Regions from separate parts of the Mus musculus genome. Here all the other regions are reported to be linked to region 1. The links are microRNA targets in miRTarBase. Many come from high-throughput screens and were not tested one by one. Region 1 holds a microRNA gene; each other region holds the end of a gene's coding sequence. Distances are between the middles of the regions.
Evidence for each region. Region 1 holds the annotated microRNA mmu-miR-1967 (UGAGGAUCCUGGGGAGAAGAUGC, at 3,457-3,479, shown strand). A microRNA usually pairs through its seed, bases 2 to 8, with sites in the 3' UTR of a target mRNA and lowers its output. Matches are read on the target gene's strand: a 7mer-m8 pairs with bases 2 to 8, a 7mer-A1 pairs with bases 2 to 7 and ends in A, and an 8mer does both.

Region 1 (6,344 bases):
ACATGACACACACCAAAACATGGTTTTTAGGAAATACTGTCTAGAACGACCTGTACCTTCATGTTTTGTTTTAATGTTCTCTTAGCTTTGAAATTCAGATTAAAAATTTCTGTACTAAGCTAGAAGCTGTACAGAAGCAGGGATGCCTCTCTACTGCGACCCAGCCCCACTCCATTCCAGGCCTTCCTCCCAAAAAGCCAATGTGATGCATCAGTTTAAAACTCACTGCTTTCACTGGAGGAAACCCAGTGAAAAAACCCATCATGTCGTTTCGAGGTTTCGAGGTTTCGCTGGAATGCTGCTTACCCACTTCCATTTTCACTTTACTGAGGCTCCCTCACCTTTTAGCAGGCTTTGGCCAAGCCCTCTCCTAAGGAGGCACCCTTACAAATGCTCACCTGGTGTGAACAAACCTTGATGCTCTCTCTGTCTGGCTATCTCTTCCTCAAATGGCTTCCTGGTCTTTGCCCTTCTACTCCCAGAGCCTGGAACACCATCCCAGTCCTACACTACCATTGATACCTAATGTTTACTTAACATTCCGCTGCTGAGTAAGACGCCATCTTAAGTACTTCCCACAGACTATCTGCTTTTACTCTATTAGGCAGGTAAACGCTTCAGGTGGGACGCTGAAGCCTGTAGTTATCAGACAACTTGCCCAAAGTCACGCAGTTCCTGAATGGGAGGGAACGCAGTCTCGTGGACAGTGTCTGAGCCTGCACCCTATGCTCCACTGATCCCATACGGGACTGCAGGGGAGCACTGGGCCAACCGCTCACTGATGCTTATGTCAACGAGAGCCTGCAAGTTAATCAGCTAACATGCTGATTGGCTACGTGGAAGGCTGGAACCGTGACTTCAAGTAGTGTTCAATGAGCAGCGCTGGCGTCACACAAGGTCAAGCTAAAACAAGTCAGAAAAGAAGCAAAGCCCCTTCTTTTGTCCCCAGATGTTGTTCATAGATTGTGACAGAGTAACAAAAAGAATAACCAGTTACTAAGTAGTCAGAAGAGGTTTTTGCCTCTCTTCAGTGACAGAAGTACACACAAATCTCACAGTTGGAAGACTGTCCCAAAACACACGAACCAAATTTATTTATTACTGATGGCAAATACTGAAGGCACAAACTGACATTTTGGGTTTTCTGATTTAATATTCGCTTTATAGTTCATAAAACAAGGCTCTCATATGTGTATGTGTGTGTGTATGCACGTGTATTTAGACCAAGTCTCACTCTGTGGTTTAGACTGGTGCAGAACTCACTTCGTACACCAGGATGGCCAACAATTCGCAGCAATCTTTCTGCCTCAGCCTACAGAGTGTGGGGATTACGGAGTGCGCCACCACTACCAGCAGAGTCTGGGCTTAAATTACCCTCCCATTTTACAGGAGAAGAAACCGAGGCAGCAAGCTCGCCTGCTACACGGCTTGCAACTCTAAGTCTCTGCGGTCACCAACTCCATCCGTGACACTCAGCCCCAGGTTACAGCCAAAAAGTCTGTAACCTGGAGAAAGGCAGACTCCCTTCCTACTTCACTTTCTAATAGGGCGGGTCGGACTGGACGGGACTCCCGGCAGAGCCCCGAGGCTATCCTCCACCTGCCGGTCCCGGCGAAGGGGAAAACTCACCTCTCGACGCCGGAGCCACAGCGCCTGCGAGGTCCGCGGGGCCGCGTCTCCCCGCGGCAGCCGCGAGCCCTCCGTCCGCTGCCCACTTCCGCCGAGCGCCCTCGTGAGCTCGCAGTTGGCTCCGCGCGAGGGCGCCCGGCGGGGCCGCGGGGTCTCCGGGCGCGTGCAGCCGGGGCCGCCACGTGCGGGGTCGCTCGGACCCGCGCGCGCGCGAGCAGGGCCGGGACTGCGCAGGGGCGGGCGCGCGCGCGCGCGCTCTCCCGCCCGAGGCCCCTCCCCCGCGTCCCCTCCCCCCCCCCGCCCTGTCCCGCGCCCCGCCCGCACTCACTGAACATCCCAGGCGGCTCCCGCTGCCCCGCCGCCGCCCCGGCACCGGCTGCTTCCGTATCGGTTGCCCGCCGTAGGACTCCGTACGACGACCGGCTAGCCGGGTCCCCGCGCCCTACGTCCTCCCGCGCTCGCGGTTCTCGGTGGCCGCCCCATGACCGCCTGACGGAGCGGGCACGCCGGGCTAGGCCGCGGACGCGCGACGCCGCCGCGGCCAGGGCGCGCTCGGCGCTCCTCTAGCGATGTCTGCGTGACGCCCCTCCCCGCCCCGAGCCGTTGGCGTCAACGTCTGCCGGAAGCGCCTCCCTCACATGTGGCTCGCCGCCGTGGAGGTCCCAGGTGAGCGGACGGTTGGAGAGTTTGGGTTTCCTCTGCGCCGAGGCGCCAGTTTGGCGGATGCGGACACCAGTCCTAACAGGAGGGAACCGGCTGGAGAGCCGGGATCGGAGGAGCCTCTGCCCGAGGGAGTTCCCGCTATGGAACCCTGCTTGAGGTTCTGAACTGCTTTACCCCGAACTGAAGGAGCTCCACTTGAGAGAACCTTGATCTGAGGGAGACCCACGTTAGAGAGCACCCCGATCTCCTACACGGAGCTCGGACTCGAGGGAGCCCCGATCCAGGTAGTAGGATTTGAAGGTATCATGATAAACTAGAACCACCACCTCCTCCTCCTCCTCCTCCTCCACCACCACCACCACCACCACCACCACCACCACCACCACCACCAAAACCAAACTTTTTATTTGTATGGGTGTTTTATGTACACCCGCAGAGGATAAAAGAGGGGCGTTCCTCTAGAACTGGAGTGGTGGTTGTGAGCCAAGATGTGGGATATTGGGACTCGAACCTGGGTTCTCTGGAACAGCAGTAAGTAATCCTAACCACGGAGTCATCTTTCCAGCCCCCTAGAACATTGATTCTCAACCTTCCTAATCCTGCAACCCTTTGTTCATGTTGTGGTGACACGCCCCCCCCCCCCCCGCCATGAAGTTATTTTGTTGCTATATTATAATTGCAATTTTCCTACTGTTGGAAGCATAATGTGAATAAATACCTGGTTTGCAATCTTGTGGGCGTGTGACCCGCAGGTGGAAAAACCCTGCCCTAAACCCTTCCCGAGGTAGTCAGAGGGCGAGGACAGGAAGGGAGGCCTCTCAGTTCTGAAGGCCTGTAGTAAGCTTTCCAAAGTGCACAGTCTCTTGCCTCAACACAGCAGCGTGGTGAATGTTCTGTCAGGGTTTAAGCTAAGTTGTTTACCATAATGGAAACAAACTTTATGACTTTTAAAAACTCAAAAGGTTTAGCTGGGTTTCATAGCAAGTGTAGGTTGTTAATGTATCCTTTCCTTTGTTACTTGGGATTTTAAAGATTGTATATGGTTTTTGTCTACTGTAGCTGTGTGTGACGAGTTACTGTTACAGTAGAAGTAAGAGCATTTTTATTGAAATTAATGCCTGAATTCTGTTTCTTTCTCTCTTTGCTCCTTTTGTCTGACATTCATGAGGATCCTGGGGAGAAGATGCAGAATTCCCTGGAAATTGACTTACAGATCGTTGTGGGTGCTAGGAACTGGACTCGGGCTCTCTACAGGAGTCACAAGTGTTCTTTACTGCTGAGCCGTTTCCTCAGCCACATCACCTAATTTCTTTTTCACTTCAAGAAGCATTATTTTCTTCAAGTACTGTATTGCTTGCTTTTTTGCTTATTTAATAGTGCTACTCCTGTTACACAACACAGTTTTGAAGCTGTGCTAAACCATCTCTTTCGATCTTAAATCATGAATGGTGACTGTCATCCTGTGAGTGATTTACACACTTTGATTTCTCCTTATTGAATTCCTGTATTCTCTAAGTGTGATCACAGCAGGAGTACTTATAATCTATTGTCTACCTGCTTTTGATGAAAGCCAGTTTCAAATTAACTATATATTTGACACAACATCTTACCATGTATCCTAGGCTGGCCTCTGCTTCCTAATTGTACCCAATAAGGTATATAGGGAGGGGTTGGAGAGGTGGCTCAAAGTTAGGAGTACAGCTGCTCTCAGAGAGGACCTGGGCTCAGTTCCCAGTACCTCCATGGCGCCTAACTCATGACTATCTGTACTCTAGTCTCCAAGACTCTAATGCCCTCTTTGACCTTCTTGGACTCCTGAGTGCATATACTCAGGCACATATACATAAAAAATTTTCTTTTTAAAAGATACTGTCCATTTTCTGGTGTCTGTTCAGTTAGGCCTTATTATAATACTATTTTCCTTTTTTAATTGTAGAAGACGTGTAGCAATGGCTGCTGTTTATTCTGGTATTTCCTTTAAACTTAAAAGCAAGACAACTTCCTGGGAAGATAAACTAAAATTAGCTCACTTTGCTTGGATTTCCCATCAGTGCTTTCTACCAAATAAAGAACAAGTAAGTTTAACGTAGAACTTGTACGTTTTATGATCTAAAATAATTTCATGTACAGCTTGGATATTAACATTTAAAAGATTAGAAGACATGTTGGGGAGAAAACTTGATTTGCAGTCACTGTCAGTGAAGAAGCAGTGGGGCTTTTGGATTGCTAGGCGGGAAGTTGAGAAGTTGGAAAGTGCTAGTCTGAGGGCAAGCTAGAAGCAGGTAGGTACCAGTTATGATGTTCTATTGGGATTTCTTAAGTTGCTGTGGCTAAAAAGTAGGCAGTGCAGCTGTGGTAGGATGACAAGCTCATGGAATAGGGCTGGCCTCCATCCAGTGCTGGTATCAGACTGTATTATAATTGTGAGAGAAGTGACGAGGTGTGGTTTGCAGAACAGTTAGCTTACCTGTCAGTGTCCACACCTACTACGTGTTTGAGTCATCTTGACAGCTAGGCAGTTCCTTGGTCAGCGCTGCACAACATGAAACAAAAGGGTAATCCTGGTAGGCTTGAGCGAGAGCCCAGCTCGTCTGTCACACCTACGGACAGTGCTGCAGAGTAGAAGTGAGCAAGGGCAACTCAGTCCAGTGTTTGTCCAGCACACCTGAGGCCCTGGCTTTCTTATCGTCAGCATCACCACCACCATCTTCACGATCTCACACATATGGCACACACAGAAGACTCATACACACAGCTCTGCGAGCTGAAGCATCACCTTTTCTCAGTGTATTGTGCTTGAGAAAACACTGTTACAGGAATGGAAACTGCATGTGTCCAAAGCCCTTTTCTCCCATAGACACTTGTGCATCCGTTCCCCTTGGCTGTGTTTCCTGAATGAGGGAGACTTAGAAGTTACTTGTCTTGGGAAAATGAGCACACATGTCCGAATGTTCTGATTCTCATTCCTTTTTTTCTTTAATTATCCCTCATTGCCATTTGATTTGCATATATGATTGCTTCTGTGGACATTGTGGATATTTATGTGTTTCTCTTAGAAAAGACCATTGAATAATGTTAATTTTATTGAAACTTTTCTTTGAGGCCAGATGAAGACATCATTGTTTTTCCTTAATAAACATTTCAAGATTTCAAAACATTATTATAATGTTAACACAAGTGAGGATTAAAAAAAATACTTTCACTATACCTGTCATGCTGCCATTGAATTGAGACCTTTTGGCCTCAGCTTCCAAGTAGTGATATTAATAGCGTGTGTAATCATATTCAGCCTATCGGTTTCAGATAGGATCTTGCTGTGTTGCTCAGTCTCATCTTGAACTTGTAGACTGAAGTGCTGCTCCTGCAGTGAGTGCTTCAACCTCAGTGGTAACTGATACTGCAGATACACTTTTAACAGGAAATCGTTTTTGTTTTTCATGCAGTAGAATTTGGTCATGATTGGGTGAAAATCTTTCATGTAAGAACTTCATTTACAGAATATGTTTTCTATAAATGCTTTCTATAAATCCAGGTTTTACTTGATTGGGCAAGGCAGTCATTGGTTGCATTTTATAAGAAAAAGCTTGAACTGCAGGAAGATATTGTTGAAAGGCTCTGGATCTATGTAGATAACATTCTACATAGTAAGAAATTGCAGAACCTCCTTAAGGATGGGAAGACTGTAAATCTCCAGCTCTCCCTTGTCAAGGTAAGTGAGTCACGGTCTCTTCTGTTGACCTGTGCTATGTGCGTCTTGGTTCGTTTCTTGTTACTGCCAAGTTTTAGAAAATTATGTGAATATGTGGGAAATTGCAGGGAAAAGAAGGAAGTTGTAATAGTATCCCCCCCACCCCCCAATTTTTTTTTTTTTTTAAAACAGGGTATCTCTATGTAACCCTGGATGTCCAGGAACTTTCTACATAGACCAGGCTGGCTTTGAACTCAGAGATCTGCATGCCTCTGCCACCTGGGATTATAAGCATGGGCTACCGTGCCTGGTGTATGAATTAGTTTTTTTCTTTTTTTAAAAAAAGATTTATTTATTTTTATTT
Region 2 (5,908 bases), 40 Mb from region 1:
ACCAGGTAAGGCTTCCAGACATGGGCTTTGGCAGCTAGGCCTTGGCTGGGTGGCCTCAGGGCTCAGAAAGTTCATGGATTCTAGCAATATGTTTGCCACCAGGTGCCTACAGGCCAGGTGCTTACACTGGCGGCACAAGTTGCTTCCCCAGTGGATCTGGGAGAGGGTTCCTGATCCTGCCAACAGCAATTCTGGGCAACCTTACATCAAGGTGAGAAAACGGCACCCCTGGGAGCACCACTCTCTAACTGGGAGCACCACTCTCCAACTGGAGGATGCTGGGGCAAGTGGGAGGGGAGGAGCACTGAGTTTCAAGCTTCCATCTCCCCAGGAGGTGAGCCTGCCCCAACCGCCCAAGGACGGACCCATCCTGGAGGTGGAGGAAGTGGAGCTACAGCCTGTTGTGGAGTCCCCTAAAGCCTCTGCCCCAATTTACTCTGGGTATGAGAAACACTTCCTGCCCACACCAGAGGAGCTGGGCCTTCTAGTCTGATCTGCTTACGGCTAGGGGCTGTACCCCTATCTTGGGCTAGACGTTTTTGTATTTTTAGATTTTTGAGACAGGATCTCACTATGGCTGGCCTGGAACTTGATATAACAACCAGGCTGGCCTGGAACTCACCAAGACTCACCTGGTTTTGCCTTCCAAGGACTGAGAAGAAATGAGTGTGCCGCCTCCCGCCCAACCAGCTTTTGCTTTCCTTGCCTCTGGGTCTTGGGCATCTGTTTGTTACTGCAGAAGAATCAGTGAGCTCACAGCCTCAACCCCATCGTTGTTATTTCCTCCTTGTGTCACAGGCTTGCTAGGTAGCCAAGGCTGGCCTCGAACTTGTGATCCTCCCTGCTGCAGCATCCCCAGAGCTGGGATTACAGGTGTGCGTCACTTCATCGAGTCATAACTTTTGATTCTAGTAAGAATAACTACCAGGCAGGCTATGAGGTGGTGACTCGAAAGACACATTCAAGGGCCTGAAGTGGTTAAGAGCCTGTGTTTTCTTGCAGTAGACCAAAGTTTGGTTCCCTGCCCTTGCAAAGGACACACGTTCAGTTTCCAGCACCCACAGGGCAGCTCAGAATCACCTGTAACTCCAGGTCCAAGGAATCCAATGCCCTCTTCTGGCTTCTGTGAGCCCTGCACACACATGGTTACTTATGCACCGAAAAACACACGCATAAAATAAAAATAAATAAATAAATAAAAATAAATTAATAAATAAATCTTTTTTTTCTTAAAGCCAGAGTGCCTTAACATTTAATTTTCAAGTATAAAGGCTTCATTGCAGAAGGGAGTCAGGGCCACAGGCAGTGGGCAGGGAATCTAAAAGCACAGGGCCCTCCGGCTCCTGGGTGCCACTACCAGTCCTGTGGTACCCTGTCTATGCCTGGGACCTTCTGCTGGGTGCCAGGCAGCGAGGTAGCTGTGAGAGGAGGAGTGGGGTGCTGGCGGCAGGCGTAGGCTCACATGACCACACAACACTGGCACGTCTTCTGCTTGGGACCACTAGCTTCTTTGGCCTCAGCCAGCTCAAGCTGCTGGGCAGGGGCATACGTAGGTGCAGGGTGGTCACCAGGGTTAGTGCTGGACGCTTCCTGATGGAGCAGTGGCTGGCTTTCCACAGGCTGCTCCGGGGCTGGGGTCTCAGCTAGGAGCAGGGTAGCATCCCCTGGGGGACCCTCTCGCTCAGTACAGGGCTCAGGCTTACTGGCTGCCCCTTCTACCAGGCCTTCTTGCTTCTCTGGTTCTTGCTGTCCTTGCTCCTCTGACCTGGGCTCGTCCTGGACACAAACAGTGGCTCCTGGTGGGCTGGCATCCTCCGCCTGGAACTCTGCTCCTTCGTTGGCTTTGCCTTGCTCTTCTGGACTCACATCATCCTTGGCGCCTGAGGTCTTGTCCACCTCAGAGAATGGCTCGATGCCATCTGCCTCCCTGTCCAATAGTTTCTTACTTCCTTCAGCTTCTTCATCCAATGAGCCCTCACCTCCTGTCTTCTCATCTAATAGTTTCTTGCTTCCTTTAGTTTCATCCAATGAGCTCTTATCTCCTATCTCTCCATCCAATAGTATCTCAGTTGTTTTTGATTCTCTGTCCAATGAGCCCTCACCATCTTTCTCCTGGTCCAATGGCATCTCACTTCCTTTTCTCTCTGTCTCCAGTGAGCCCTCTGGCTTTTTTTCTGTCACCAATGGCTTCTCAGTGGTGACCGGCTCTGCCTCACCTCCCTTTTCTACTTCCAACGACTCTTCACCTTCCGTCGTTTTCACCTCCCACTTTTCCTCATCTGTTGCTATCTCTGCTGGAAAGGGGCCCTCACTGTCTTTTCTCTCTACCTTTTCTGCCTCGTTTTCCTCTCTTCCCTGGGTCTCATCTGGCAGCACAGCTACACCATCCTCCCTCTCTGCCCCGAGCTTTTCTGCCCTTCCCTTCTCTTCTATGCCCTCAACTTTCTCTACTTCTCTCTTCTCTACCTCCCAGGACGCTTCACCTCCTCTGGGCTGTGCTCCAATCAAAGCCTCAGGTTCTCCTGCAGACCCTGCCCCCTGCGGTGCTTCCAAACCCTCCATCAAAATCTCCTCCCAGTCTTCGCTGAGGGCCACTCTCTCCACCCAAATGAAGGATCCCTCCTCTACTCCAGGACCTCCCTGCCCAACACCCTCAAGACTATCTCTGGAAGCACCTTCTTCTTTTCTGCAAGTTTCAGCCTCAAATTGCTCCTGGAGTCTCCTGGAACTGGTGTGTGTGGCCTCTGCATCCCTGCCTGACTCCCCTGTGACATCAAGATCCCTGCCTCCCAGCCCCTCCCAGACCACTTCCACTACACCCCTGCCCTCCTTCACCCAAGTGGGGAGCTCAGGGCTGCTGGTGCCCTGCCTGGCCCCAATGGCCTCCAGAACCACTTCTTCCACCTTAGCCTCCAGCTCCACATCTGTGGGGCCTGTGGCACTGTTCTCAGTGGCTCTAAGCCCAGCCCAAACCACCTCCACTGCACCATCTCCTTTGGCCTTAGTGACACTCGACACCCCTAGACTCAGCTGCTCTGGGAGAGGGCTGTGCCCAGGGCAGGGGCCATTGGCTTCTGAAGATGTCCCTATAGCTTCAGTGGATGGCCTCGAGGCTGGTAGAACCGCAATCGACTCCTCCCTGGGATCAGAAGGAGACTCAGGGGACATGCCCACTGGAGCATCTGGCAGGGAAGTTCGCTTGTCCACATCAGTCGGGGCTGGGGGAATCAAGGGAGGACGGGACAGGGAGGTCAGGATGATGGGGGAATAACAGGACCCTTACCCCAGATTCTTTTGAGTCACATGATCTGGTGGTGACGGTACCCCAGGTCTTGGGGACTCCAATGCTTACCGGTAGGAGCTGCTTCCATGGCAGACTGAGAGAGAGGACGGGGACCCTGCAAGGAGAATAGAGACAAGGTCAAAATTGGTCCCAGGTTGTACTTCCCAGGTATGTTTGTGCCCCACCCGCTTAAACAGTATATCATGTTAGTGCTTGCATGGACAGCTTCTGAGGTGACTATAAAGTATATCATGTTAACAGTATATCATGTTAGTGCTTGCGTGGACAGCTTCTGAGGTGAGTATAAAGTATTTGGGGGAAGGAATACTTGGGATGGAACCCAAGCCCTGGGCCACACTAGGTTATTGCAATATTGCTGTTGAACCACATCCTCAACCTGTAAAGACCTGATGCAATCAGACTTTAAGTTCCAATGGGAGGAGGTAAGTAATAGACATAACAACAAATAAATAAGCCGCGTTTGCAAATAGTTAAGGGGAGAGAACAAAGCGGTGAAAAGGAAGAGAGGTCTAGGGTGAGGAGGTTTCCCCTAGAGACTGAGCTGGGCGTGGCTTCAAGAGGCTTGCCGAGAAGGGTGTGCCCTGTCCAGAGTGCTGAGTTGGAGACCATTGTTCGAGGCTAAGGCTACAGTACTGCCCGGGTGAGCCAGACGTTAAAGGGAATAATAGAAGAGAGACAATGTGGCCAGCGTGGAGTGAAGGAAAGATGTGAAGAAAGACGATGGGGCAGCTGCACACACCTGTATTCACACACCTGCATGCACACTAAGTCCCTTTGTGATCAAGGCTTGGTGGTAGGAACCGGTAATCCTACCACAAGGAAAGCTGAAGCAGGGAGATCACGAGTTCAAGGTCGCGGGCTTCGAGATTGGGCTAATTGCTTTCAATTATAATCTCACTGGCCCTTCCAAAGGCACTTCTGAGTTGGTATTCCTACTTTAGGGATGAGCAAACTAAGATCTAGCCAAGACAACCAACTTGCACAGAACACAGAACAAAGTAACAGTGAGTGGGTTTGCCTACCATTCTCTACCAAGGCAGAGGCTGCGTTTTGAGAGAGCACATTTCCGCTGTGTCCTGTTCTAACCCTGCTGACCACAGCCCCCTCCTCTCCACCTCTTTCAGGCCCTGCTCACCTCTCTGCGCCAGGCGGGCCTACCAGCAGGTCTGTGTTGAGCACCTGTGGACGCACTTTGCAACAGCTGTAGCTGTGACTGGAGTCTGAGGGAGAAAGGAGGCTGCTGGAAGCCGGAATGGACCAAACCTGCTCCATTTCTTAGAGCTGCTAAAGGCTGGGGCATGGCTCAAAATCAGGGATTCTCAACTCACGAAAACAAACTGTCTTCCAGGTTGCGAATTCGAGCCTGGGCCTGTCCCTCAGGCGACTGTGGGTCCTTGGAGGCGGGTTCCTCCGGCCGTTCTGGCCCTTCAGCTGCCCCGTCCATGAGCCAACGTTCTCGGAGAGATTTCCTCTGGGTATGGAACGAGAGTCCGGGACTAGCCACAGGAAGCCTACCTCCCCACCCATTGCTTGCAACCACCCAGAGGGCGCATCCATCAGGATGGGAGACATGTCCATATCTCGTACCCCAACACCATGCCAGCATACAGCCTTCCCAAGCAGAGGCATGCAACCATTATCCTTCCAGCCTGCCCAGTCGACTGGCTCTGCTAGGCTCGGAAAGACCTCTCAATGTGCCCCTCTCCACCCCAACGTTGGCCTCAGGTTCCTCTCATCACCACCAAACTGGGATGAAGCTCACCACCATCCTCCACCCCCGCCCCCCATACTCTTCCAGAGTGGGACAGCTGTCTCCATGGCTACCTTTCGCCTGCCTCCTCTCCATCTCCCCCTTCCCAAATTAGTCAGAGGTTCCTATTGTCTTTCAGCCGGACTCACACAGACACCCCACTTCACTTCCCCGGACTGGATAGGAGCCCCCAACCTTGAGCCGCTCCACGCGGAGTTTCTCCTCCTCCAGCTCGCGACGCGCGGCGCCGATCTCCTCCTGCAGCCGCCGCTTCTCCTGCGCACACACGACCCAGAGCTGCGGGCTAGTCCAGGGCCGCCCTCCGCCCGCCTCCTCGGGGCTCCCGGGACTCCCGGGGCGTCCTCCCGCGGGCGGGGGCTGCAGAGCGCTGACTCAGCAGCGAGAGGGGCGGGGCGGGGCAGGACCAGGCGGCCGCGCCCTCATGCTGCGGAAGCCAGGCCCACGCCCAATGGTGGTCCGCAAATGGGGGCGTGGAGGCGGGGCCTAGAGATGGGGACTAGGGTTTTGCACTTCTAAGATAGGAAGGAGAATGGCCAGGCGAGGCGAACGCGCTTGGTAACCCCAAGACTCAGTAGGACGATCTCCATGAGTTCCAGGCCAGCTTGGACTAGAAAGGGAGTAGCCAATTAGAGGCTACTTTGGGCTACAGAAACCCTGCTGGGAAAAAAAAAATCGTTAAAAAGGGGGGGGGGGGTCAGGGATGTGTTGATCTAGATAAAGAGAAGGTGCTAGCGAGATGGAGTCCAAAATGGGGGTGCAGAGGTAGACATCCAGAGAGATTCAGGCATATATAGAGGTAACGCAGAGATAGGGTACAAAGATATGCAGTAAAT
Region 3 (5,972 bases), not on the chromosome of region 1:
CTCATTCCAGATGAAAGTACCAAGAGCATACCAGATGGCTGGTGGCAGGACACAGGCCCTGGGAGTGTCTCTTTGGCTGGTGCTTGACCACACCGTTGAGCCAATGAAGGGCTTTCCTGGGAATCTGCTCAAATGCATTACCTAAGAACACTAATCTTAGAGGAGCTGAGAAATATGGTCTTGCTTTTTGCAGTCACAGAGTGCATTTTTGAATACCCAAAGCTCCAGGTCCTTCGGTGGAAAAGCCTGCCACCATTTCGGCCTTTCCAACTGTTGGCACTAGTTTGGCGAAGCGCACTGACTGCAGGTACCATTCCATCTGTGTTTCATAGAGGCGTCTAATGGCCACCATCCTCACACTGGGCTCTTTGGGCTTTATTAGGTAGGAGACAATGTTGAGTGTCCCAGGATCACACTCTGATCATCACAGTATACCTGCCACTGAAGGAATCATGAAGTGACTTCATCGGAGTCACTCAGAAGTACAGTGATGTGTCATAGAACTGTCACAGAAGTAAAGACTTCAGCAGCTGTGGAGGTTCCTAGCAGATGCAGCCATGGTACTGGATTGTGAGTGTTGTTCCCATATGTTTTGAACACACTGGTCATTTACCTAAGCCCCTCTCCCATCTAGCCCAGTGTTTGTTAGTCCTGTTAATCTCTCACAAGCACTGATGTCTTCTTAAGATGCTCTTCCCATACCTTCCAGGAAGCCACTTTGACTGTTGAATGGGTTCCTACCTCTGGCTTCTAATTTTTTACTACATCAGTTCTTTTTCTAAACCCCTAGGTTTTGAAGAACCCCCAGGCTCGATCTCTCAGTCCCTGCAACCACTAACTAGGAGATTTCATTCCTTGTCTCTGAACACTGTAAGCTATATAACTTCTCTTTAAACTCTGGCTACCAAGTCTAGCAGCTGGCTTGATATCCAGGATAGCATCATATACTGATGTGCAGAACTGTTTTTTTTAAAGATATGGCCTCAGGCTTGCAAGATGGCTCAGTTAAGAGCACTGACTGCTCTTCCAGAGGTCCTGAGTTCAATTCCCAGCAACCACATGGTGGCTCACAACCGTCTGTAATGAGATCTGTTGCCCTCTTCTGGTGTGTCTGAAGAGAGCTACAGTGTACCCATAGGTTGGGAACAGCTGCTCTTCCCAAAGATGGGAGGGCGAAACAGAAGAATCCACCAGAAGTGAGCTTGGCTGTGCAGCAGCGAAGAACTCTTCTCAGACAAGATGGAAAGGCAGGGGCCAACACCTCAAGTTGTCCCCTGACCTCTACAGGCATGGAATAACATGTATGAGTTACATAAACCTGAGTTTACTTCACATGTCCTTTCCCATGATACATCTGATCTTCATCATATTCGTTCAATCATGCATAGGCACGGTGGTAAGTAGGGTTTTTCCCTAAGACTTCATTTGTAGGGCATAGTTTGCCTTATTGTCTATGTTCCCCAAACCAGTTTAGGCTGGATGAGCCCACATTTCCAGATCCCAAGGTGTTTCAGGATGTGTTTGGCCACAGAAGGGAAGTTACTAAGGATGGCTAGGGCGCTCCAGGTTAGAGTTACCAGTTGCTTTATTTAAGAAGGGGTGTGCAGCCTGATGTTGGCAGGGTCTCAGCTTGTTAAGTACTGTATGTATAGCCAAGTAGAGTCTTCCCTGTGCTTGCCTACCTCAAAATGCCTCACACCTGGGCATAGGTCAGATGCCTTCAGCTTGAGACTGGCACCCTTCTCTTATACTCAGTCCATCAGCAAATTCTGACAGACCTTCCAACTGAATTCGCCCTCACCATTTCCACTGCTTCCAGCATGGTCCAAGTCACTGTCACCTCTCCAGCCCTGCAGTGTATCTGAGCCTACCTCAGCCCCACTGTCTTCAAACAGCCAGAGTAACGGTTTTAAATGTGTGAACCGTGCCATGTGACAGTCTGTTGGTAAGCTCACATCCCCCAGAAAAATCCACATTCATGCCACCCTGTTTCTTGCCACTGTCTGCCTGCTTTGCAGTTTGTCCAGACCAGTCTGCCAGCTGCTCCTCAGATTCTATGGAACATTCCAGTTCAAGGCCCTTCCCCTTGCTGTAGCCTCTACCTGGCAGGAATATTCTCAGGTACCCACCCGCCTGGCTTTCTCCTGTGTAGCACATGTCCTCTTGTTAAGATAGCCCGAACATCTGCCGTTCCCACGCCCACCCCTGCTGCTTCTTACAGTACTCTATCATCCTATAACATGTTATATATTTACTTGCTGTTTCTATGGCTTTGACCTTGAAGTCTCTGTGAGGCAGGGACTTCTCATTCATTGCTGAAACTGTACCTGAGCCTCTGCTTTGAACATGGTGGCTGTTTGATCTTTTTTTTTTTAATGTGTAAACGCAATCTCTGTAAGAAACTTGTGAGCTGAGGCTATCGCTCATGGGTAGAGTGCTTGCCTCCCTGGTGTACTCTAAAGTGGATCCCCAGGTGCACACAGGCTGGCCTTGGTGCTGCATGCTTGTCATCCTAGCACCTGGGGTGTGGAAATAGGAAAATCGGGAGTCCAAGATCATCTGAACTACATGGCATCTAGTCTACCTTGGGCAATGTAAAACCCATTTCAAAAAGACAAAACGAATGAATAACAACAAAACAAATGAACCCTTTGTGTCACTATACCTTCCTTTAAATGTGTGCAAGGTATGCTGGTGGCTTAGATCCCCAAGTCTGCAGAAGGAATCTGGGAACAGGGAGACATCACAACACTCTTGTTTTGTTTTGTTTTGTTTTGTTTTCGAGACAGAGTTTCTCTGTATAGCCCTGGCTGTCCTGGAACTCACTTTGTAGACCAGGCTGGTCTCGAACTCAGAAATCCGCCTGCCTCTGCCTCCCGAGTGCTGGGATTAAAGGCGTGCGCCACCACTGCCCGGCTTTTTTCTTTTTTTTTTTTTCTTTTTATTTTTTTTATTTATTTTTTTTTGTTTTGTTTTGTTTTTTTACAACACTCTTGATAGCTAGAAGTGTGGCTTAGTGGTGAGTCTTGCCTAGAATGCTTGAAACCCCAGGTACCACCCCTAGCCCTGCCCCAAGTTCCAAAGGTGTACATATATACATACATACATATACACATACATAACATACATACATACATACATACATACATACATACATACATAGTTGTCATGTGTGTATCTTATATTGGGTGTGTGTGTGTGTGTGTGTGTTTGTGTGTGTGTGTGTGCACAAGAGTGTGTGCATGTGCGTCACGTGAACCTCTAAGAGAGACCTGTCTTTGGGGAGCGTTAGACCATTTGATCTTCAGTATAAAGGGTCGACTGCCCTTCAAGATGGATAACACACTTACTAGGTTTAAAATATTTTATTTTAGGAAAGTATGAGATTCTTTTGAGTTTTCTATATTAACACATCAATCATCACCAATGTAGGTATAAGCAGTGATTCTTCTTTCTAGATCTGTATAAAAAGGATGTTTTCTTGAAAAAAAAACTACAAGAAAAATACAACCACTTTCTCTTTGCCCAGGTCAGTCACCATAGTTAGATTGCCCAGCTAGATTTTAATATGGCTAGTATGAGGTACTTTTCAATGAATTTATAAATATAGTTAAAAGGATTTGCTTAGGCCATCGGCGTTTCAAAGTTAAATTTGACTTAAAGTTTGTACCAAATGGAGATGACGTCTAAGCTGCGTATGAGGTGTTACAAAGAATAGAAGTAAAACCATGAACATTTGGAAGGCAGGTCCCATGTAGGGCATGCAGCAGATGCTCCACACACTCTCAGTTCTCTCAGAATTCCTGTGAGGTAGGGTGCTTTTAGAAATGCCATCATACTGGTAAAAACAAGCAAGGCTGGAGGTGGGGGATGGGGGGCTTCTGGAGTCACAGCTAGAAGGCTGATAACCTGGCCCACCTCTGCTCTGCTGGTGTCTAGTGTGTGAACTACAGCCCTTGGGACCATGAGTCCATGCTCACATGAACACATGTATATGCACAGAGAATGTACAGATTAAACCAATGACTGTAACAGGACATTTGTTCCTCCTAGAGACTTCCCAGAGACAAATCATGTCATGTCGCTGATGCCAGAAGCCTTGCACCCAGCCCTGCCCGGGCTGGTGAGCCGCCTTCTTGTATTCTCTGGATTACTAACCTACCTTCTGTATAGAAGAGGGCACTCCTGACAGACACTGGTTTCTGCATACTGACACTGCTCTCTGTATACTGCATGGCTTGAATTATATAGTAGTCCTAGATTTATATGGGAGGGAGGGAGGGCCTTGACACAGTATAAAATTTTCATCTATAAAAGGTATAAAATACCAAATGAGCTATTTTTTTAAAAAAAATTCTTCTGTACCTTGAGGATCTCAGTAAAGAACAACAGACTGTCCATTTCATTCTCCCTGCACTTTCTGAACCAACTAGCATTGCTCGTTAGCAGAAAGACGCTGGAAACCCATCTGTTCCCAGGGGCACGGCTTTCACCATTTCTGGGCCATGGCTGACCTTGGACTACCAGCAGGCTGTCACAGAGATCTGAGAGGAGGAGCCCAGCAGTATTCTGTCACAGAAATGTCACCACCTTGGTGCCATGGACACTCCTGAGCAGCATCTGAGCTGCTTCTTGGGCTCAGGAGCATCTGCCATGTAAAATTAGAAAGTGAGGTTTGGAGAATTACCTTTGTTTAGTTACAATTTTTTTTTTTTTTTTAAAGCTAGGTAGTGGCAGTACACACCTTTAATCCCAGCACTTGAGAGGCAGAGGCAGGAGGATCTTTGTGAGTTTGAGGCTAGCCTGGTCTATAGAGTGAATTCCAGGATAGCCTGGTCTACAGAATGTGTTCTGGGACAGCTGGGGCTACCCAGAGAAATACCATCTCAATAATAATAAAAATAATAATTTAAGTCTTTGTCATGCCTACTAGCTCTCAAAATGAAAATTTAACAGTCAACTTTCTAAAGCTTGTCTGAGTTAGCCCAATGCAACACTGACTAGGGTCTCAAAGCAAGATTCAACATTTCCTTTGTTGTCTTAGGACACAAATAAACTGATTTCTGCAGGACGGATGTGAGGGACTTGGGACCATGGGTAAGTGAAGAACACATAAATCTTTTTTAACATGCCAGAGGGGCTTGATTGATTTAAAATATATCTACACCTAGCAGTGGTTAATGACTTAGGATTTTAGCATGTTTTTCAAACTTCAACTAAACGTGATCTCAAACCCAGAGTTTAGCCCATGCGTGGGGTGGTGTGTGGAGAGGTGTGTGCGGGCTGTCTTTCATCCTCCTGTCTGGTTGTCAGGACAACAAGTCCGGACCAGAGAGGAAGATAACTAAAGTGTCAGGCAGGTGCTCGATTTGTCCAGGGAAGACTCAGGGAAGGAAGACACAAGCAAGAGCAGCCTCCTGTGCAACCCTGGCTTCCTGTGTCAGTCTGGTCACCCTGTGGCTCAGGAGCTGAGCTCTTCAGCTCTTCACCTCTGGTAGCACTCAGGGTTCTCCACACCAAGGGCTTTGTCTTGGGTAAGAACTACAAAAGAAAACATAAACAACACTGGTAGCAAATGTGGGCGGCCCCAGCTTCCTCTGCAGCATTTAGCTCTTGAGAGCAAGCAAGCTGTATGCTTTTCTGCTAGTCTAGCTCTAGGTGCACTAGGGCACACGTACAGCCACAGTCTCATAGGTGCACACATGTATGTGTGTGCGCTCAAGAGCACACGCCACACACACACACACACACACACAATACACACACGGCACTGTGGGAAGTCAGATCAAGATCAAGTTCTGGTGAAGTGCTAATAGAGACAGTGAGACTGATATCTAGGGCTGGGGGAAAAAAACTGTTTGTCTCCCATAAGAAAGGAACATTTGATATTCACAATCATCATCATCATCACCACCACCATCATCATCATCTCTTCCTCTTCCCCCTCTTCCTCTTCATTTTCTTCAAGGGCA

Region 2: miRTarBase lists Il27ra as a target of mmu-miR-1967. Seed matches in the 3' UTR shown: 7mer-m8 at 834-840.
Region 3: miRTarBase lists Mfsd4a as a target of mmu-miR-1967. Seed matches in the 3' UTR shown: 7mer-m8 at 4,777-4,783 and 8mer at 4,368-4,375.

The regions. Positions count from the first base shown.
Region 1 is chr8:124,019,232-124,025,575 of GRCm38, forward strand. It overlaps Mir1967 (microRNA 1967), which reads left to right and starts at 3,410; the gene lies at 3,410-3,491. It overlaps Taf5l (TATA-box binding protein associated factor 5 like), which reads right to left and starts at 2,166. Exons shown (of 5, transcript NM_133966.3): 1 at 1,958-2,166. It overlaps Urb2 (URB2 ribosome biogenesis 2 homolog (S. cerevisiae)), which reads left to right and starts at 2,266. Exons shown (of 10, transcript NM_001368414.1): 1 at 2,266-2,295; 2 at 4,229-4,367; 3 at 5,825-6,001. The coding sequence starts at 4,242.
Region 2 is chr8:84,025,616-84,031,523 of GRCm38, reverse strand. Il27ra (interleukin 27 receptor, alpha) reads left to right here. Exons shown (of 14, transcript NM_016671.3): 12 at 1-5; 13 at 103-211; 14 at 332-1,238. The coding sequence ends at 493. It overlaps Palm3 (paralemmin 3), which reads right to left. Exons shown (of 7, transcript NM_028877.1): 3 at 5,250-5,330; 4 at 4,633-4,775; 5 at 4,440-4,524; 6 at 3,353-3,398; 7 at 1,229-3,218. The coding sequence ends at 1,459. Among named protein-coding and RNA genes, the nearest start is that of Palm3, 7.1 kb to the right of the region's middle.
Region 3 is chr1:132,033,433-132,039,404 of GRCm38, forward strand. Mfsd4a (major facilitator superfamily domain containing 4A) reads right to left here. Exons shown (of 10, transcript NM_001114662.1): 10 at 3,351-5,541. The coding sequence ends at 5,486. Among named protein-coding and RNA genes, the nearest start is that of Elk4, 29 kb to the left of the region's middle.